Linked DNA regions of Oreochromis niloticus. The protein of the gene in region 2 binds, or shares a complex with, the protein of the main gene of each other region. Links are inferred from orthologs where the notes say so. Each region holds a gene or a part of one and is shown on either strand. Other genes may lie near its edges. The genes, in order: mterf4 and nsun4.

What was found.
Region 1: the proteins of nsun4 (region 2) and mterf4 are in contact, whole or in part, in a crystal structure (PDB 4FP9), measured with the Homo sapiens proteins. The link is inferred for Oreochromis niloticus from reciprocal best matches to the Homo sapiens genes NSUN4 and MTERF4. Residues at the interface, in NP_950245.2 of Homo sapiens: Pro61, Ser62, Arg64, Val65, Leu68, Ser69, Glu70, Arg136, Gly137, Asp138, Ile139, Arg141, Asn367, Leu368, Met369; in NP_872307.2 of Homo sapiens: Tyr267, Glu269, Arg270, Leu271, Gly272, Arg273, Glu311, Glu312, Val315, Phe316, Lys318, Leu319, Arg322, Glu323, Glu326.

Annotation. Positions count from the first base shown.
Region 1 is NC_031982.2:14,336,054-14,346,757, reverse strand, and holds mterf4 (transcription termination factor 4, mitochondrial), read left to right. Parts: upstream 1-6,288; 5' UTR 6,289-6,414; coding exon 6,415-6,441; intron 6,442-6,701; coding exon 6,702-7,113; intron 7,114-7,211; coding exon 7,212-7,396; intron 7,397-8,310; coding exon 8,311-8,703; 3' UTR 8,704-9,549; downstream 9,550-10,704. Other genes in the region: pask (PAS domain-containing serine/threonine-protein kinase), read left to right, coding at 890-1,122, 1,212-1,338, 1,840-2,405, 2,492-2,634, 2,767-2,934, 3,044-3,169, 3,279-3,413, 3,523-3,722 and 3 more; probable G-protein coupled receptor 148, read left to right, coding at 10,124-10,704. UniProt on the Homo sapiens protein: Regulator of mitochondrial ribosome biogenesis and translation. Binds to mitochondrial ribosomal RNAs 16S, 12S and 7S and targets NSUN4 RNA methyltransferase to the mitochondrial large ribosomal subunit (39S).
Region 2 is NC_031982.2:11,041,224-11,052,199, forward strand, and holds the start of nsun4 (5-cytosine rRNA methyltransferase NSUN4), read right to left. Parts: upstream 5,133-10,976; 5' UTR 5,018-5,132; coding exon 4,925-5,017; intron 3,604-4,924; coding exon 3,384-3,603; intron 3,125-3,383; coding exon 2,977-3,124; intron 2,890-2,976; coding exon 2,735-2,889; intron 2,612-2,734; coding exon 2,451-2,611; intron 2,326-2,450; coding exon 2,201-2,325; intron 2,046-2,200; coding exon 1,913-2,045; intron 1,782-1,912; coding exon 1,638-1,781; 3' UTR 1-1,637. Other genes in the region: cytochrome b-c1 complex subunit 6, mitochondrial, read left to right, coding at 5,302-5,349, 5,745-5,801, 7,704-7,865, 7,941-7,973; ATP-dependent DNA helicase PIF1, read right to left, coding at 8,980-9,027, 9,338-9,529. UniProt on the Homo sapiens protein: Mitochondrial RNA cytosine C(5)-methyltransferase that methylates cytosine to 5-methylcytosine (m5C) in various RNAs, such as rRNAs, mRNAs and some long non-coding RNAs (lncRNAs).

The DNA.
Region 1 (10,704 bases), about 3.3 Mb from region 2:
CTCACTGGTCAAGCCTGATGGTCTCACTGTGTCTCCAACTACTCAATAGACACTGAAACACTAATTACATTTTCCCCTGTTGGATTAGCTGTGACTGTTCATCGTTTCTGCCCTTTCTGTTGTTGTTTTCCCCCCTAAAGCTTTTATCTGAATTAGACTCGTAAAGTTTTTGTGACTGGAATATTTCCCCCAAATTTCACAGTCATGATTGATTCATGAATGATTGTGGTGCTGGAACATCTCAGTGTGGGTTAAGTGTGTTAAAAGTCCTCTCGTTTGCCATCTGTTGGACAAATAATGTCACAGCATGCCTGGTATTTAAAAATAAATAAATAAAAAAAAGTAGAAATTTCTAATATAGTGCCTCTTATTTAGAATGCGAAGAAATAGTAATACATCGTTAAGTTGTTCCAACTGATTATTATTGTTTACCAACCTTTTATACATAAGATGTATTTCAGTACTGAGCTTTTATTTAAGTTAAGCATTTATGGTTTGCAGCATGCAGATAGAAACTTGCATAAGTCCTAAATCTTAAGCCTGTGGGGAAAATAAACAGGCAAAGACTTATTCACTCAATAAAAATGTAACTGCAGGGATAAATGAGCTGAGAGTTGAGGCATTCGTTCTTGTATATGCTATTACCAGTGCTTGTAAGGTGAAGTGCTTTGTGTTTTATACTTGCAGCATGCTCCAACCCCATAAAGCAAGGCATCCACAACATTGATCCAGAACATGTTTTTGCGTCTACATTTTGATTTCCTAGGAGACACTTCAGATACATTTTCAGTAAATATTTTGCCGTTGCAGTTTGCCTGTAGCTTTCTTGTGTGATCCAAGTTGGCATGGAAAGAAAAGAATTGGATTGAAACAGCCCGTCTTTCCTCAGGGCCAATAACACTGCAGAGCTGATGGAAGAAGCAGCTCAGGTAGCACCATGCAGTAGCCAGCTAGACAGTGTGGATACTACTCAGGCACTCCTCAAGACATTTACCTGGGTGGAACTTCCAGATGACGACACCTGCCGCTCTGTTCCCACTGAACCATCGCACCAAAAGAGAGAACAGCAGCCGGGCAGTGAGGTTCAGAAAAAAGATGAACCCGTCCCTGAGAATATCCCAGGTGTGACGTAGCTCTGCTGATGTTTTCTTTACATAAATGGAGCTCAGCTATAAATACAATGTACAATGAATGTTCTTCTTCTTCTCTAGACTGTCCTGCTGGGAATGGACATGCTGTTGATAAGATCAATGACAAACCTGATGTAGGAAAAGATCACCGTTCATCTGCCTCTGTTTTTGAGGAATCGAGCTTTGAGGTCATCTCAATGGAGAGCCGGTGAGGGGAGATATTTTTCAGTATGTGGGTAAAATGAGGCCCTGAAAGCGTCTGACGTGCCTGGTTGAAACTTCAAAGAATCTAAAGATGCTAATGAGAATGTCAGCGCTCGCAGTTACGTATATCATACTTTAAAATATTGCACAATGGCAGGAAGAAACAGACAAGTTTCAGCCTGTAGCTTAGAAATGCTGTCTCATTGATATTTTTGGCGTCTTTAGTGGGTCAGCACCTTTTTCGACTGTGTAAGCCTTTTTCAATTGAGCATGCCTCCTTTTTTGTTTAGTTAGACTTCAAAGAAAACTAGAAACATTCATTTCACATATCATTTGCTATACTAACACCTGGATGTGTTTCTCTGTGTTTTTAATACAGTATTTGATTCCACTGTCAAACATTTATTCATTTCTTTGCTTATTTCAGCTTTAGACGTTTCCTTCCTTTACAAATATATTTTTCATGTATTCATGTAACAATGTTTTGCTTTTTCTAATTTCCTAGGTCTTCTTCTGGCTTCTGTGAAAATTTTGCTGGCCACGGTGGTTCTGATCCAGCCCAAGCAGTGGACTCAGCCAGTGTCTTTCTGGACCTAAACAGCAATGGTGATCTGGTTACCCGGGCCCTAGCAGAGCTAGACCTGGGCGGTAATATAGAGCTGCTCAGTGGCGGAGGAGGCAACAATGACAACCAACACTCTGTGGCATCATGTGATACGGCTGAGCTCCTGCGGACTCCCTCCCCATGCATGGTGCTGTCTGACCAAGAAGCGGAGCCCAATGAGCCTGGGGACGCTGCTGCTGTGGAGGCCAGAAACAAATCAGCTGATAAACTTGAAAAGCATAAGGATGAGCAGGTTCACTGGGAAGCTGTCTCTGCAATTCATCAAGGAAAGGGCCAAGAGGGCTGTGAACAAGTGAATACTGGGATTCAGTCACTGACAGATATGCCTGCCACATCAACTCCCAAGAAACAGAAGGTATATGGACACAACCAGTCCTCAGATGCCACACGTATAGTGGAGGGGCGATTTGAAGGAAGTGGATACCACAGAGACGGCACGAGAATAGGTTGGTGTTAAACTCTTTACTGTACTTTAGATTCCTCCTAAAAATCAAATGCAAAGCAACAAGTATTTTTCTCTCCTTGTGTGCAGATGTGCTGTGTGATGTGTGCGGGACTAACCTCCCAGACGGAAGCTCCATTTTCTGCGTGTGGATGTGCAGACTCAGCCAGCAGGGGGCGTTGTCGCAAATGGATCAATCACTGCACGACCAAACAGCAGGCAGTCTAGGAGAGGTCAGTGGCTGTAATGATCTTAAGTCTAGGTCAATAAAGCATGGTTTTTATCTTATTTATATTTTAATTTAAACTTCATTAGAGGCAGTTGTGCTTTTAACTTGGTGATCATTTACTCGTTTCTTCATGAAGAGGATTGGTGAGGCCAGTCAGGGGGAAGCATTGCGCTCCACCATGGACCTCGAGCAGTCTAAAGCCTGTGATGGACAGTTTGAAGAAGAGTACAAGCCGATCAAAGCTGTTGGTAAAGGAGCCTTTGGATTTGTCTGGAAGGCAGAAAGGCGCTGCGATGGGCAAGAAGTAAGAAAAATATTTGGGGGGTTTTTTTGTTGTTGTTTGTATATGTAGTTTTTTTGTTTAGTGTTGTTTTTCAGAGGATGATATTATGACCTATTTTAAAAACCTACAGGTGATTGTGAAGTTCATCAGCAAGACCAGAATAGTGAGCGACTGCTGGGTAGACGACCCAATGTTAGGGCGAGTGAGCCAGGAGATCGCCATACTGACCCGAGTGACGCACCATAACATCGTTAAGGTCGCCGTGTGGTTTGCATCACATGACCCTGTCGCAAGTTTCCAAAATAATGTGTTTTTAATCGTGAACTGTGTTGCTTCACCTCATACACCTGTGTTGGTGTCACCAGGTGCTGGAGGTGTTTGAGAATGGGAGTTACTTTCAGATGGTGATGGAGAAACACGGAGACGGTTTGGACCTTTTCGAGTTTATAGACAAGCAGCCGAGGCTCGATGAGCCCCTTGCCAGCTACATATTCAGACAGGTACACGCACAGGCAGAACAATACAACCGTGTCAGGAGAGTGGGCTCATAAATGTGACATGAAGTGTTGATTTGTTCCTTGTTAAAATGCAGCTTCTGTCTCTTCCCAGATTGTGGCAGCGGTCTTCTATCTGAGGACCAAGAACATCCTTCACAGGGACATAAAAGATGAGAATATCATAATCGACACATGTTTTCACATCCGACTGATAGACTTTGGCTCTGCTGCTATAATGACTCCTGGGAAGCTCTTTTATCATTTCTGTGGCACCCTTGAGTACTGCTCCCCAGAGGTGCTACAGGGAAATCCGTGAGTATACAATATCTGTTAATTCTCTTTTTTTCTTTTTTAAAAAAAATGTATTTTATTAAACTTGTAGGTTAAATAGCATCCTTATGTTTAAAGAAGTCACTTAAATTATTGAATCTGCATGCAGAGTCTAGTTAAGAGTTATTTTTACAGTCCTAGATTACATTTATGACCCATTGAACTCATAAATTGAGCTCTAGAGTATTCAATTTTGAGAATACACCATCAGCACTGAATTAACTTGCTAATAATTATAGGCTTCTCTCATAAGTGGGCTTCTTTTTGTAGCTATGAGGGTCCAGAGCTGGAGATGTGGTCTTTGGGGGTTTTGCTCTACACGTTGCTTTTCAGCGAGAATCCCTTTTGTGACGTGGGTGAGATCCTGGATGCCAAACTAAATCCCCCGTATCATCTCTCTCCAGGTACACAGCCACCGCTTGTGATTTCACAAAATATGATCCTTTGAGTTTATAGAGAAGATTTTGTCCAGTCAGATTCTGAAGTTTTTCTGTGTATTCTCTCAGAGCTGGATGATGTATTACATGGGCTGCTTGACCCTAACCCAACTCACAGAATGACTTTAGACCAGCTGCTGCTGCAGTCCTGGATCAGCCAGCCCATTTCTCTATCAGAGTACACCTGGGCAGAGGTGGTTCCTGAAAATCTGAGCTGCTGTGAGTACTTTTAAATGGTACTGTTGGACTAGTAGGTGTCAGACTTTTTCTGATATTCCCCACCTCAGGAGGTGGAAACAGTTTATCCCTTACACCTCTTAATACTCATCACTCTGCAACAATAAAATAAGTACATAAGCATCAGGCCACTTTGATATTTTTTCCCCTTGAAATGTAACAGAAATTCAACTTAGTTTAACTTCATATTTTTCCTTTTCCACCTGCACCACAGTTTGAGAACCTGTAAATTAAACTGACAGTCGTTAGCTATGTTTTAATATACTGGGGCCTCTGATCTTTTTATCAGGTTTACCACAGCACCAAGAATCCAGTCCTAAGGCGTACATCGGGCAGAGCTCATTTTCAGACGGTGGGGATGACACTCTGCCTGAGGATGACGAGGAGGAAGATGAGGATGAGAGGTTGGAGATTGCAGCCCTGAAATCGGAGCTGCATAAGTACCTCGTTGAGGATTAAAGACTCTGCTTAAACAAAGTGAAGCCTTCATGCGAACTGTCAAATCACCTATTTTATCTCGAGTCACTGAACAAAGATATGAATGTTGAAGAAAAATGAAGTGCGTCTCAATAATGGGACGCTGCTGCCGGGACTAAATATGAGAGAAACAGACTTCTGACTTAATCATGGGTCAGTCACACTGTGCTTGTTTCTGTGTTCAGGATGTAATCTGTTTTATTTATTTTCTGCAGTTTGATGAAAAATTAAAGCAGCAAAAAGAAATTGTGACAGTTTAAAGTATCACCCAGCTTTACTACAAAAACACAATAACTATAAGCTGTTACCTCAGAGAAATCACACAAACTCATTAAAGTTAAAGAAACTCTTGATCCAGCTTTTTTTTTTTTTTTAAATAATGGGCAATTTATATTCATTGTTTTATTCTTGTATATTTTAATTAAAAGTGTAAGAATATCTGATATTTATCTATTTATTTTTATACATCAATAAATGTATTGCCACAAGCATGTTCTCTTAAATCAGGTAACTGCTACTTAAATTTATATCCAAAACACTAAATGACTGCAGTACTTGTTGGGGACACATTTATCAGGTTCCCAGCTGGTGTTAAAGCTGCCAGATTAACAGCTGCTGTTATTTACAGGCTGCCATTTCCTTCACAGACTTTCACGTTATTTCAAAGTAGAGAGGAGGGTGGTACTGCAAATATTTCATCATGAGTACATTACACTAGCTACAGACTGTCAGCTATTCCAATAAAGTTGAACATTTATTTTCACTGTGTATTTGTGAAGATATGAGTTCCTGAAAAGTCCTTATAATAACACTGAACCATTAAAAAAGCCCAGACTTTACTTTTTTTTATGTATCCTGATTGCATTCACCATGCTGATTCTCATCTGAAAATATGTTTTGTAATTGAAAATGATTAACTCATGACACTGATAACATGAATTGAGCACCATAAGCACCATATCATTACTCAGGGCAGGAAAGCGCTGCCAAAAAGTGCCCTAAAGTCTCTATTTAGACTGTTAACTTGATGATTCTTGAAATACAATCTGTCAAATACATCAATCACGAATTATATCAAGCAACTTTGAGGCACAGTGCACAAGCTGCAATTAGTTTCTGGTAAAGTGACTTTTGAAAGTGTCATTGAGGTTAAAAATGTGTTTCCAAAAAGCACTGAATTTATTAGTACAATCACGCAGAGTCATAAGGCTAAAACAAGTCATTTCTTTATTTTATATGTAAACCCTAATGACTGCGGTCTATTTACAGATAGAACAAAGATATTAGACACTTAAAAAAAACATTGAGAATCACTTTTTGGCACGACACAGGTAATTTAATTAGGAAAATGTCTGTCTTATAAGATTTCTAAATCATGGTCACACCATCATATTTGATTAGCCGAATATATACCAAAGACTGTAGAAAAAAACTGTTTTCTACAGTCAATGATATTTACACACATAGCGGAACCTTTGTACTCTTTAAGTTGGAGGACGGAAATATTTCGATAACGGAGAAGCATGGGAACCCGTGTTGCTGTGAATCAGGTGAAGTATATATACAAACTATGACGATTTAGTATCTTTTTCCTCGAAGCAGAAATAATTAAAGGTGCAAGACTTTTAACTGAATGGACCCCTTAGTAAAAAAAAAAAAAAAAAAAAAAAAGGAACGAAAAGACTGACATTTATAACCTTCACGTCTGCTAACTTGAGCTAATGATAACGGTGGAGTTTGTTAGCATATTTTCTGCCCCCTCTACCGCTGCTGTCTGTGAGGGTTTTTAAAGGCGTGTATTTTTCCACAGGTACTACGGTTGGCTGTGAGAAATGCCACCATCTCTACACTGTGTCCGCGTCAGTTTGGGAGATACTACCTCCAGTCCAGATGGTGTTGTTCCTCTACCAACCAGGCAACGCAGCACAATCAAGACTTGAATCCTCCGAGTGGGATTCCGGTCACTGAGCTGTCCCTGCGCTCTTTCATTGATATGGGCTTCACAGAGAGTCAGGCAGAGCAGATATACGAGTCTCTGGCCAATGTCAGAAGAGGAGATTCTGCCAAACACATCCTACCAACCCTCACAGCTCTGTTTGTCTTGGGCCTCAACCCGTCCAGTGTGAAGAAGTGCCTGGAGAAATGTCCTGAACTTTACACCATCAAAGAGGCGCAGCTGCAGCAGCGCATAAGCAACCTGCGGAAAATGGGCTTAGTTGAAGGTAAAGTGTTGCCTTTGCGCAGTTTTTTTTCTACATTAGATCAAGCATAAATTTACTGAAAATATATGAAACCCGCATTTTAATCTATTTCTCCGTAGGCAGCCTTCAGAGGGTGGTGGCCCATTACCCCAGGATCCTGACTGTGCCTTTGAAGAGGGTCAAAAATGTGGTGATGTTTCTCAAAGAGAAGTGCCTGTTTACTTCCCAGCAGGTCACAGACATCATCAGAGATTGTCCAGCAGTGGTGCTGGAGAACTTGGATCAGCTGGAGTACAAGTTTCAGGTGAGCAAGTGAATCGTGTTTGCTGCTTTTTGTTAGGTTTTGGTTTGGATTGTCAGACAAACCTGGCCAAACAGACCTTATACTTGGGTTCTGTGTATTCAAATGTATAACAATCAATGGTTACCATATTCTTTACATAAATGATGCAAATGTGAATTCCTAGATGTTTTGAATAAGTTATAAAAGATGATAAGCACAGTGGGCAGATACTCAGTAGCTCCATTCCAGTAATAATAGACTGAATGTTATTTGTGTGTATATAATTTTTTTTCAGATCTGCATTTTATAATCCTGTGAGCACTTCTGCAGTTCTCTTTGTACAGTGCAGAGTGGGACAGTGTGCATCCGCATTGCACTTCCCCACATGAAAGCACACCGTCCTTAAGATCAGCTCAGAGTTTCAGAATAGGAGTATCTCCTGTCCACACTTTTATATGTTGTCCACTTAAAGCTGTTGTCAAACTGTGTACTAACTGTGTTGACCAAATGTACAAGCATGTGTTCTCAATATCACTACAACATCATAGTTTTTGTTTTCACTTTTCACTCTACACGCTTCATTGTTAAAACCCTGGCGTGGCTAGGCGTAAGTGCTGACTTCAAACACCGTCAGATTTCCATACTTTCTACTGTAATGAAGATAAACTAATGAGTGTGGAGACTAAATCTGAAACTGCGTGAAAGAAATTTAACTGTTGACTCACACCTCGCTACAGAAAGGAACAAACATGGTTTCTATCAGGGTTTCTTCTGCAGTTCACTAGAGAACTGCTCAGTCTATAAGAAGTCTGATATGGGCTGTATTTTAAAATACATAGTTGGTGCGCTGCTCCTTCCGAATAACAGCTAGTATTCCCGAAGTTTTGTTGTGTCTGTTTCTTTGTAACAGCACATTTTACCTCCTCTCTCCACAGTACGTCTACTTCAGAATGGGTGTCAAACAGGCGGAGATGGTGAAGTGCCGACTGTTTCGTTACAGTCTGGATGAGGTCCGCTGTCGACACACTTTCTTGGAGCGACGGGGCCTCTATGAAACCCCGGACAAGAAAGGACAGACGACGATCATCAACCCCAGTCTGGACAGCATCCTTAATGTTGACCAGGACACCTTCCTCGCGCACGTCGCCCAGGCATCAGCAGAGGAGTACGACGTGTTTAAAAGACTGGCAGCCAGGGAGTGGCAGGAAGAGGAGCTGCAGCAGGGCAGGACTGAACCTGATAGTGACGATGAGGACGACGATGAAGATGTAGACGATGATGACGATATAGAAGCAAAAAGTGGATATGGGAAAAGGAGAAAGAAGTGACTGCTTGTTGAACCAGTCTTTGTTTTTTGCTTTTTAGGGAAGTTCCCTAGATTATCATCTAAACCACCCATGGGAACACAGGAAGAGCCTTTTGTTATGGTTTATGTTAGTGGTTTCATCAGGATGTAAGACATGAGGACGTTGGTGTGAGACTGTGGGTCAGTTCTAACTTTGGGTGAGGAAAAATGTCTCCCACATAATCTTTTTGTCAAAGTGTCAATAATATTTTTGAGTTTCCTTCATTGAGGGCATAAATTAAATTAATTTCAGAAGCTTGACTTGTGAGTCGCATTGAAAACAGGAGATGACTGCCAATCCCTTTAAGTGAGTTTTCGAATAAAGTCAAATAAATTCTTGAAAACCAATCAGATTTACTGGGCAGAAAACACTTTAAAAGCTACGGTGTGGGGAGCTCCACCTTGTTACTATGTGACAGCTGAGTGTTTGTAGCTCTCTGCAGCCCCTATATTATCTCTCTGAGTCAACAAAGAGTACATTCAGAAAGAGCTGTCCAGTGAGATGAGTGCTGCAGAGCACCGTTTTATTTATTTGAGCATTAACGGATGCACACCACAGGCAGGTTTTTCCATTTTTGAGCCTCAGGTAAGATCACTCACCTTTGTTCAATCGATAATTTGTCAATAAATACGTTTATGTAGTCATTTCTGGGTTTAGTTTTGCTCTTTTTGTTCAGTGAGTACAAATTTTGGTTGGGAACGTGGTTATCACGGTTGTGGTATTCAGCTTAGTTATTTTTATTTATTTTTTGATGAGTGAATCATGATGTGCACCTGATTTGTGAGATTTCACATGAAGAGAAGTAGATGTTCAGGGTCCATTGTTGAATATTTGTTCATATTCGAATTCTGGCAACAAGCTTCTGGCTGCTCATTTTAATTATTAAGTAGACTAAAACAATTTGACTGGACTGTAAAATGAAAATTGCATGTTAAAAAGCCAGCGCATTAAAGCATTAGACATTACTACTTTTTTTGGGGGTTTTTTTGCTTTTGTTTTTTTCCAGCCTGCAGCCTAACAAGGTTATCATTGTATTAAACACACACAGAGATATTATTCATGTAGAGATCACATTTGCTCTTTGCTGCTTGTGTGAAGATTTGCAAATTCCAGCTTTTACGCAAATGCATAAATATAACATATAGTTTGCTTATTCAAGTAGAGACTCGAACCATATTTGCATTTAGTTACAGGTGATTTGTACAGTTTCTTACCTGCTCATCCAGTTCAAATTCGCTGGGTGGATTAGCGTGGGGGTGTATCCCACTTTTAACTGTAGTGCGCTGTGGACAATGAATTATGGTGTTTTTCTTTCACAGGACTTGGCTGGAGAAAGTAGGGACTGGGCTCATAAAACACGCCTGTGTCGCCATCTGCACTTCCTCCGTGACTCACAGGTGCAATGACATCACCGATACCAATTTCAAACATCACGCAGGAGTGGGTGGAGATTATGCAGAAGTGGCACCTGGATTTGTTTTCCATCCCCACAATAGTCCTCACTCTTGCCACCTTGCTGGCCAGCCCTGTTCTCCTGGTAAGCATTTTCCTTTCCCGTGCCCTGCGCCAGGAGACACGTTACCTGCTATTGGCCAACATCCTGGTGGCAGACCTGTTTTTGGTCCTACTCAACCTGGCCATGGTGATTTGTAACGCCTTGAGAGCACCAATGCAATGGTTGGGTTGTGAGCTGGTCACAGCTCTCACCGTCACCAGCTACTGCTGTGCCGTTTACACGGTCACGCTCATGGTGGTCGACACCTATGCTGCTGTTCGCTGGCCTCTCCGTTACCGTGACGTTATTCCACCTTCCCGCACCTACTGCATACTGGTGGGGGTGTGGGTGTTAGCAGCCATATACCCTTTCACAGTGATGATCAAGACACACATAGCGAGTGGGAACTCCCATGAAAAGCTACCCGTGTGTCTGGTCCTCATCTCCCTTGGATTCATTCAGGACAGGAACGTGACTGGGATCTACAT
Region 2 (10,976 bases):
GTGGACTCGTTAAGAAACACACGCACACACACAGACACACACCTTTTTTCATGCTACATTGCCCGGGCCAGGACAACATAAAGGGTCATCGGCGGTGTGATGGAAAAAAAAAAGAAAAAGAGGCACCTCTGCGCTCACATTAGGCTGTGATAAGAGGAAACATTTCACCTCTGAGTGATGTCGATGCAAAAACGGACTCAATCCAGCTATAGTAATGAAAGCTGCGCAGATTCGATGTGAGAAGCCAAATGGTCAAAGAAGTCATTACCTGCCTGTTCATTATGCCCTCCTCTCACACAGCCATATATCGCATTATTAGGCAAAGCCATCAAACCTGATGAATAAGCAAAGAACAAGACAAGCCCATTTTCATTGCCGAGTTAAAGAGAGCAGGTAATTCTGATGGAAATTTGTGTTTTTTTCCCAAACCACAAACATCATCCCTGTGCAGCTGACAGAGTACAGGAGGACAAACACACATAGTGAAATTACAGCAGCATTTCCACATATATACACTCAGTGTCCTCTAGTGGACAAGGAAGATACAGGACGCTTGTGCTCTTGGTCTACTGTTGACACCTAGAGGGCAAAAATTAAACAGCAACTCATAAATAGCTATATATGAGTGGAGGAGACCTTTAAACAAAATGACACATCCTTCCTAATTGTATTCCTAATCCTCTGTCCATTGTTTTCTTGTAGCTATCGCCTTTAACTTATGATCAATTTTAGACAAACACGACTTTAATATTAATCTTTAATCACACTCAAAATGTGATATGAATGTACAGATGTACAGTACTGACTAACAAGTTATTAAATGGCTATTTGACTTTTTCTCACACTATCATATGCATATCCTGGCTGTGTGTCACATCTCTTTAATATGTCACAGTAGAAAAGATCTGTGCAAAGAACACTCTGGTACCCTCAGGTGAATTCTAGTGATAATGTAACTTTAAGTTACATTAATTTGAATTGTTTATGGATAAAAAAACCTAAACATCCACATCGTCAATAAGTTAATGCAGTGCAAGCTCAGTTTAATTATTCGTTTAACTGCAGTTTAGGGCTTCCGCATCAATAATGAGGACCAGCATGAATGATGAGGACATTGAAGGGACGGGTCAATGCAGGCCAGACTTTAGGAAGTACTCCTCACGTCCCTTTGAAACTAACAAGAGGTCATTCATCAGCTTGTGCAGCTAGTTTTAAAGCATAAGGACCCTACTAGCAAGCCGCAAAAAAGTGGATTAAGGATTAAGATAGGATATTGTGCGCTCAGAGTCACCTGTCCTCACTGATCCACTTCTGCACTGAGAAAAATCTCTTTCCTGTTCGTCTCATGCTTTACCTGAACAATCTAAAACTGATATTATTTACATTTGCTGTGTAGCCTGTAAAGGTGACCCAGCGTTAAGGCTTAGTAATCATATAGGACTGAGAAAACAGGAAAAAAGAGAAACGTCTCTGAGAGTCATGGCTGGCTCAGAAGGCTTCAAAAAGCTCCAGAACACAGTTATGATGAAAGCCCGGGTCCACCAGAAGCAGTTTGCAAATCCAGCGGACTCTAAATCTGGCAGCAGAGTTGCTCAGTATTTGAAAGTCTCAGGCGAACTTGTGCAACAGTCGACAGCCTACGTCAGCCTCTTTAGCTTGCACATGTAAATGGGTCCAAAGTTAGCTGCTAGGTGCGGGATGACCATCTCCCCCAGGTGGAGGTCCGGAGCGAAGTGGAAGGTGTTCCCGAACATCCGCGTCAGGGGCCTCAGATCCACAACCTGAGTGTGGATGTGATGGAGATATGATGAAATAAAAGAAAAACGGACAGTTATTCTAGGTGTAATTTCAGTTTCTTTGCGCCACCACTTTGATACATTTCTTATTAATACAAAAAAAGTGTCTCACTAACCTGTAGATGGATGCCATCTTTCTCTCGAGCTTGGTAGATAGCCTGTTCAACCACACTGAGGTTCTGGTTCTGTGAGAGCGTGCAGGTGGAGTAGAGGATCTCCCCACCAGGACAAGCGGCCTGGATTCCAGCTCTGCAGGATACACAGAGGGTTCAATTTACATTACATCTAAATAAAGGTTTTCACTACCAGCTGTTATTTTGCTTAATTGTGTGCATATTTATATGAAACCACAGAAGCTTTAACAGCCTCAAAGCCCATTTTGTTCACATTTCCACCAAACTTACAGCAGCAGCTCCAGCTGTAGCTGCGGCAGCCTGCGTCTCTCCCCAGTCCGACTCTTACTGAATATGTTGTTGTCGTCCTCCATGAGTGAATGTCTGTCTGTTGTGCAGGGAACGTCAACAAGGACCTGAATTTAGAGAAAAAAAAGGAAAAGCTGAACAAAACTAAGAGTTTTTGAATAAAAACATAATGACAAAGAGCAAAACATGTGAATAGGATGAGTGACAATGTGACAATGTGGCACTGGCTTACTCTGTCAAAAGTGTTGCTTTCAATTTCCCCCCATTTAGTGCCATCGAAGGAGGTGATGCGCAGGTTCTCATTTGTCAATAACTGCTTAGGAACATAGCTGTGGAGGACCTTCCTCAGTCGTAGTGTTCGAGACACTGAGCTGTCGTTTATGCACAAAAACCCTTCGACATAAACACAAAACAGGTGGAAGGTTAACAGCAGAGCAGCAAACACATAACCAGTAAATATAAAGAGTGATTCAAAAAACAAACAAACTGAAAAAGGGTAAAAGTAGTTTGACCTACTGATGGCCTGGGTCTGAAGCAAAGCCAGGGTCTTGCCTCCTGGAGCAGCACAGAGGTCAAGCACGCTGTGACCTTCTTGAACATCCAGTGCGAGACAGGGCAGCAGAGATGCTGCGTCCATCAGGTAGTAACCCAACAGGCTGTTCTTGTCTGGCCTGAAGAGGAGAAAAGAGAACCGAGGATCAGACTGCACGCTGGTAGAAGATGCTGTTGTTAGTAGCAGCATAGGAAATATTGCTCACCTTGCAGGCTTGAATCGTGTCACGTCGCCTCTCGGAAACACTAAACACTTGATGTTTGGGCTTAGAGATAGCTGCTCACCATCAACGTCAGAGCTCTTCATGGAAACATCACTAGGTTCCTCTGATTTTTCCTCCAAGCAAGAAGGAACTGCAAATTATATGCCAGTCACTAGATGATATAAGTGACTTTTTAATAGTGTTAATTACTAAGGTATTGACTTTTCCCAGTGAAATGTTTTAGCAAACAGTCTATTGAATGAATTTAAATCAAGTCATTCACACTCCAGTGCTATCTTCATAAAATTTTCTGAACTCTTCAGAGCATCAGAGATTGCCACAGCACAGTATTTCTGTCATTAGTAATAACCAATAACCATAACTGTGACTGTGACGGCTGGCACACTCACCCTCTCTCTCTCTTTCACTGATGAAATCTATGCATCCCTGAGCTTTGAGCTCTGCCAGAACAGCATTATGGGAGAAATTATTGAGCAGGGCTCCATATTTTCTCTCTGACAGCATGGCGAGTCGCACTGAGGGCCACAGCTGCCCCAGCTGGGTGCTGTAGGTGGCGTCAAAGTGATGCACAGCCAGTCTGGTGGGTGGGAGCTTGGGACGTGTAGCAGCCTGTCAGAGAGCAAAGGAGGACGACATTTAATATAAATGTTCATGTTTATCCATGCTCTCTTTGTGCCAATTTCAATATAAAATTTAAATTCCCAGGAGAGTGGAAAGCTGTCTTTAATACACGTAAAATTAGAGTAGACCTATAATGTACATCTGTGCACAAATATATGTACCTGACCATTTTCAGAGGCAAGTTTTCTTTTTGTTAAGCCACTCAACACTGACCTATGAATCATTCCAGAACAAAAAAGTCTCCTGTCTCAAAGGATGAACCAGGGTTGTATCTATACATAAAAAACAACTTAGCAAAGAACCAGTTTTAAATTGTATCTTTAGGCACTTTGTTACTGCCAGGCTGTCACAAAACACATCAACTCTTCCCATTTCTTTAGTTGAATGTATAAAAAAAATGCCAAAGATAAAACAGTTTGATAGACATAAAACAGCATTTTTGGACTGATTTCACCAAAGAAACTGGACAACTCGAGAAAAAAGGGGCTAAAACCCCCCAAACTATCTACAATGTGAACAGTATCTGAAAGTCATGTTGGGTGTTGGGGATCTCATCAAAATGGATGAAACTATGAACACACAAATGTATGGTCAAATTTTAATCCACTTTGCAACACATCTAGGAAGTGTCTGACTGGCAACAGGATAATAAAAGCAAATACAAAATGAATACAAAAACACAAAGTGGAACACTATCAGTCATGGATTGGGCCTCCCCAGAACCCGGATTTCAACGTTACTGAAGCAGTGTGGGATCATCTTGACAGATAACAAAACAAAAGGCAGCCAACATCCAAAGATGAGCTCTGAATGTCCTTCAAGAAGCCCAAAGAACTATTTCTGAAGATTACTTAAAGAAATGACAATAAGCTTGAATAAAGATTAGGATCTCAATACTGTGGATGCTTAATCAGCATCCACACTAATAAGAGAGTTCCTACTGTGCTGAAGAATAAAGGTGGTCAAGGCAAATATTGACTTTCAAGGTCGTTAGACCTGTACAACCTCAGAGTCAGAATACTTTATTAATCCCTAAGGAAATTATGTGGGTTACAGTTGCTCCAAGACAGTAACAGACTAAACTATTTAAATAATATAATATGTTACCGAGTTTACAATTTTTTTTTTCTTTTCGACTGTGTTTAGCAGCTACACGAGATCTAAATGCAAATACTGTCTGGTATTATTAACGTCAGTTATTTATTTTCCTTTTCTTTAATTCCTGTCAGTCATCAGATTTTTTTCAGGATGCCTGCTCTGTGTTATACTTATACAAATGCTTTTTTCTATCTTCCCGTTGAGCACGTACCCATTTCTCTTTCACTCGGTGTCGTCTGGGTGTCAAACATCTTAAATCTTTAACTTTTCTTAACAGCAGGCTGGTGTCCCAGAGCAGCGCCATCTTGCCGTGCCCCAGCTTTTTTTCCGTCCGACTTTGCGCTGACAGTTAAACAATGGTTCCGCATGCATTGAGTATTTGAATGGGGTAGGCCCTGACACAAAATGGAGATCTGTTATTGGTTCACTGGGACATCAATAATTTCAGTGAACCAATAAGAAACGTTATCCGGTGATCCTTCTAGTAGTTTCCGGCGTGTGACCGACCTCGCGTCCTCAACCAGAAGTAGTGAAACCGAGGAGTTTCAGCTTTCTGAGTTTTATTTTGTAAAATTGTCAGACGTAACCATGGTTTTCGAGAAAAAAATGCTCACACACGGGGACCCCGACGATGAGGTACCGAAAAATATCGTATTGTGTCTTTATAGACTGGTCTGTGTGTGTGTTTGACGAAGTTACCCAACTCTGCTGCTCATCTTAGCGGTGTACCCTTCGAGTTTACTGTCAGCTCCTTTTAAGACTTTAAATATAATTATCGGCATTAAACGAGGCTGGCAGCTGAAGGTGTTTCACATACTCTACAATACTTTGAGAGACTGCTTATTTTAACTGTGACTGATTCAGTGCGTTTCTTTCATACGGCACAGTTTTATGAGGTGATTACAATATCTGGACATTCTTCAACGTAGTTAATAAAAATGTACACAAAACTTAAAAAAGCCCTATAAATCTGTAAGCTGTGTTGGTTTGTAACTGGATTTTAAAACATTGATATAAATGTCTCTAAATAGGAGGAAGATGCCCCTGCTGAGGAGGAGGAGGAGGAAGAAGAGGAGGAAGAGTTGGTGGTAATTATTTATTTATTTATTTATTAATATTTATTATAAAAACATGTATTCTGGTGATAAACAGCTTTTTATGTAGGACAAAAGGTTGAAAAAAACCTCAAGCGCCGATGGGTTACTATTCAAAGTCTGACTGATTTATCGGCGGGCCAGTATTATCAGACGATATTACCTATGTGTCTGTATATTGGTATCAGCAAATCAGCAAACGACAAATTATTATTTAAAAAAGACAAACAAAAGAAACACCCTTCTCCTATGGTATAAGTGTTGATGAATATTTTGCCCGCCAGAGGGCACTCTGCAGCTTCCCTGCTGGCAAAACTTGTTTGTTACACCACAAACACAATAACCAGTTGATCTGAGCAGTGTAAATAAGTTAATTAAAAAACCCCCAAAATGCCAGTAATGGATATTGGAGATCTCTGTTTGTTTTCTGTGTTTGAAAGGAAAAGAAATGTATCAAAATACCAGATTTTTACATCTCCATATATATGTATAGGTCTTAAAATCTTTACTGTAATGACCAAGGAGACTTGCATGTTTACTGGAAGAGCTAGGAATGGAACTATGGCTGTTGAGATGAGCATAGTGGTGCACAACAAGGTGAGTTTAGTGGCTTAGTGAGGGATCTCAAGCTTAAAATCAGAGTTTTATATGCTAGGATATCAGCTCTCTGTGTACCTGGTAACTTATGCTGAAAACATATAACCTAGTCTGGAGGTGATCTTCAGAGTTGTGAGTTAAAATCAGTTTGAAGCATTTTCACTGACTCCTGTGCATGTATTCATTTGGTGATGCAAAACATGTATAAATGTTTTATATTTTGTTTTAATCTGCTATTAAGTCTCTTTTGTACTGATAGTATTGCACCTACTAGAACACAGAACACACAGCAGAATAACTGTTCAAACATTCAAATTAATTTCACTTTGATCTGCTAAAATAATAATGCAATTTCCACATTTTCATTATTAGGCTGTAGGACAGTAACCATCAATGTTTAAATTGGGGCGATCGTGGCTCAAGAGTTGGGAGTTCGCCTTGTAATCGGAAGGTTGCGCAAGGTTGGGCAAGACACTTCACCCGTTGCCTACTGGTGGTGGTCAGAGGGCCCGGTGGCGCCAGTGTCCGGCAGCCTTGCCTCTGTCAGTCCGCCCCAGGGTGGCTGTGGCTACAATGTAGCTTGCCATCACCAGTGTGTGAATGTGTGTGTGAATGGGTGGATGACTGGTTGTGTAAAGCGCTATACAAATACAGGCCATTTACCATTTAAATGGATCCAGTTTAAAATTTCTGAGCGCAGCCATGATGTTAGAGATAAACGGCAGCACAAACACAGAGGTTTGTTTTATTGCTCTGTAGAGTAAATCACTTGATTAACATTTTTCTACAGAAATAATAAACAGCTTTGCATTTATTTTTTATAGATTTTAATCATGCTTCTGATGTAGAGGAACACTCATAGGGATCATTTTGAGTCATATGATGCTTCCACAGCATGTCTTTTGTCCCGTCTTCCTTCTCTCACCCCAACCGATCGCAGCAGATGGCTGCCCCTGACCCTGACCCTGGTTCTGCCTGAGGTTTCTTCCTGTTAAAAGGGAGTTTTTCCTTCCAACTGTCGCCAAAGTACTTGCTCATAGGAGGTCATATGATTGTTGGGTTTTTCTGTGTGTATTATTGTAGGTCTGCCTTGAGGCAACGGTTGTTGTGATTTGGCGCTATATAAATAAAATTGAATTGAATAAAACACCCCATTTTATTTGAGCACAAAGAAAGCCTGGCTTATTAAACCTCTAACTTCATTATAAAATCACCTTCATGGTTTGAGAGTTGTGGTTTTCCTACCAGAGTTTTTGCCATCATTTTCCTGATGAATAGCATGGCTTCCTTTCTTTTTAGGACCCTTTAGAAGCGATAAGAGCTAAGTGTGAGGAGACTGAACACTGTGTGCACTACAAGGAGCGTCTGGAGCTCTGTGAAGCCCGGGTCAGTACAAGGTCCAACACTGAGGAGGAGTGTACAGAAGAACTCTTTGACTTCCTGCATGCGCGGGACCATTGTGTAAGTGTGCAATAGACAAAGGAAAGATTATTCTCCTAGTGATGATGCTCATTGTGCCATCTTCTGTCTCTACAGGTCGCACACAAGCTGTTCCACAATGTGAAATGACAATCTGTCCAGTAGACCCGATATGATTTCTGATAATGTAAAATAATCCACAAATGAAGCCTGTTGTTGTTCTCCTGAATTTCCTTGGACTACGTTCCTGACACCTGTTTGTATGCAGTGCATACTAATATAGCTGATAGTGACTCTTGATGTCGATACTGCTAATAACATATTGGAGCATGCACTCTAAAAATTCGTATCAAGAAGGGATTGGCTGTAATGAAAATGTGATGAGGTGGAATGTTAAAGTATGCTGCTACAGTAATGGAAACCGGCTCAGGTTTGGTCATAACTTCACTCTGCTGACCAGAAAATAAAGGTTGTCTTTGGATTCCACTTAGTCTCAGCTGCTTCTTTTCAAAGCGTCTGCATCCTCAGACGTGGGCTCCATGACTGATGGTTTAATTAGTTTTATCCAGCCACCAACGCTAAATGCTCTCACTGATGTTTACGGTAACACAAAATTGGTCTCTGGTTGACGGCATTTCTATTTAATGGCGCATGCACAGGAACACTCGTCCCACGTTTGGAAGTTTTGAAAAGCAGTTGAGGTAAAAGTTAATTGGCTCAGAGCATTTTTTTTCTCCCCACAGCTTTAACACAGACACTGTTAATTCCCTTAGTTCATCCCAAAACGGGTGGGAAAATGTAAGGAGTGGATGCTGCCACTCAGTGACTAAAGGCAGCAATAGATTTTATTTTCTCCTTGAGACCTGTAAAGCCAAGGAGCGTCATTGTTTGAATTCAGTGTTTTTCCTCCCTTAAATATTAATGACTGATAAAATACTTCACGCAAATAATTTGGCTAAAATTTTATTTGAATACATGCAAAAAATAATTTAAAAAAATAAGCTCTGAAAAAAAAAAGTACAGTGAGCAGATGGTGGCAGTGTGACTCCAAGTAGAGATGGTAGATTGAAGTCTCAAGAAAATAAGGTTAAATGGTGAAATAGCTCAATAACTCATGCACATAGTGCATATCATTAGAGTGGATTTAGAGCCAGCCTCACCATGCATTTTCTTTATTGTTGCTAACAAAGTCTTCCATGGAGGCCTGCAGAGAAAAATGAGGACAAAGAAGATCATAAGTACAGCTGGTGAATGAAGTTTTTCCATCCACAGCACTCCAGTGTAGTTTGATCCATCTCACCAACTCTAGGGAAAAAATGAGCTCTCCAGATTATTTGGTTATTTGGTCTCATTTTGTTCTGCTTAACATAAACTTAACGTTGAAGTGAAACTGCAGAGCTTAACATTAAACCATTGCTGGGCAGCTACTTATATGAACATGAGAAAGTGATAAAAATGAAAATGTGAGATATGAATCAACAGCTAAGGTAATATTTGGTAATATTTGCCCTCACCTGCATGAGCAACCTCTCCTTCCTCAGTTTTCTGTAGAAGAGGAGGACATCTGGGTCTGCCCGGACCACGCGGGGGTCAAAGTCCATGACCCTTAGACCCTCGAGGTTCCGAGCCCGAGACAGGGCCACGTAAGCCTGGCCGCTCTCAAACACACGAGCTAAAGAGATTTCCACACAGTCCAGCGTCATTCCCTTCAAAACAAACATGACAGCCATCATTGTTAAATAAAAACAACACATGCACTGATGGAAGTCCAGCATTTGAAAAACCCAAAAGCTGACTACTCAAACTACTCACAGGTCTTAAAAAATAAAATTAAAAAAAAGGTTGGGACAGGGCCATGCTTGCCACCATGTAGCGTCCACTCTTCTTTTAGCAACAGTCCATAAACATCTGTACTATGAAGAGACCAGCTGCTGGACTTTGGGGAGAGGAATGTTTTATTATTATTGTTATTATTATTATGTTTTTTTATACCCAATAATGTTCCTGACCTGATGTTCATCCAGCTGTTTCTTTTTAGTACCACTTTTCCAGCCTTTGTTGCCCCCAACCTTTGAGACATTTGCCACCCCCATCAAATTCAGCATGAGCTAATACTTTTCAGGACATGGTAAAATGTCTCCGTTTAAACATTTTTAATGTGTACTTTTTGATTTGTTGCGAATAAAATCATTTCATTTTTTAATTTTACAAGATCCCAGCTTTTTATCAAGTGGAGGGAAACACAACAACAAAAATATATAATTGTTTAGTCTACAGTATAAGATTGGTGACAGGCCAGGAGCATCAAACTTTCAAATTCACCTGACCAGCGTATACACCTCCAACTTGGAATTATAATTTATTCAGGTCACCCATTTCCCCTGTGAGGACATTGGTATGGAATCAGATTTTTATACCCTTGTGCCCTGACACGTCTGCTGTAGATCACTGGCTTGCACTTATTGGTCATTACCAATTAACCCAATTATCCAGAGGTGACCCTTTTACCTTTAGCTAGATTCTCAGATGGAGGTCAGGATATTGACTGTGTCAGTGCAGCAGAGCAGAAGATTGGTGATTGTTGAGTTACAGCTTGTGGTTAGATTGGGCCTCTATAGCAATTTCCCCTCAAATAGAATTGTTGCACTTAGTCTTGCCTAGCTTGGTTTTCTCTGCCTGTTATACAATCATTATAAGATTTAAAATGGCCAGTGGGACTTTTTATGTGATACTGTTGTTTTTGTGCTTTGTAGGTGGCACACAGAACAGTGAGGAAGGGAGAAAACAAGAGAAAAAGGAGGAGAGCAGACCCTAGTCTGACCAACTCTTTAACACAAATTTACTCTACTTGCTCTCTGTTAAAATCTCAGAAAATGAAAAGATGATTTAAAAAAAAAAATCTTACATTTATAAAGATATTATTCTGGTATATTTTAAGATGTGAAAAGAAAACCAAATTAGTGGTGTGTCAAGCCAAAACAACTTGTTACTTTTACAATCTGTTTACTAATGTCAGCCATAGACAAAAAGTCTTTGAAATCAAGCTGTACATTCAGAACATGTTAAACAGAGGAACTCTACTTCGCTCACAGTGACAAACAGGAATCTGTGATCGACTGATTTTTAAATTGATCACAATGTGAATTAATGTTT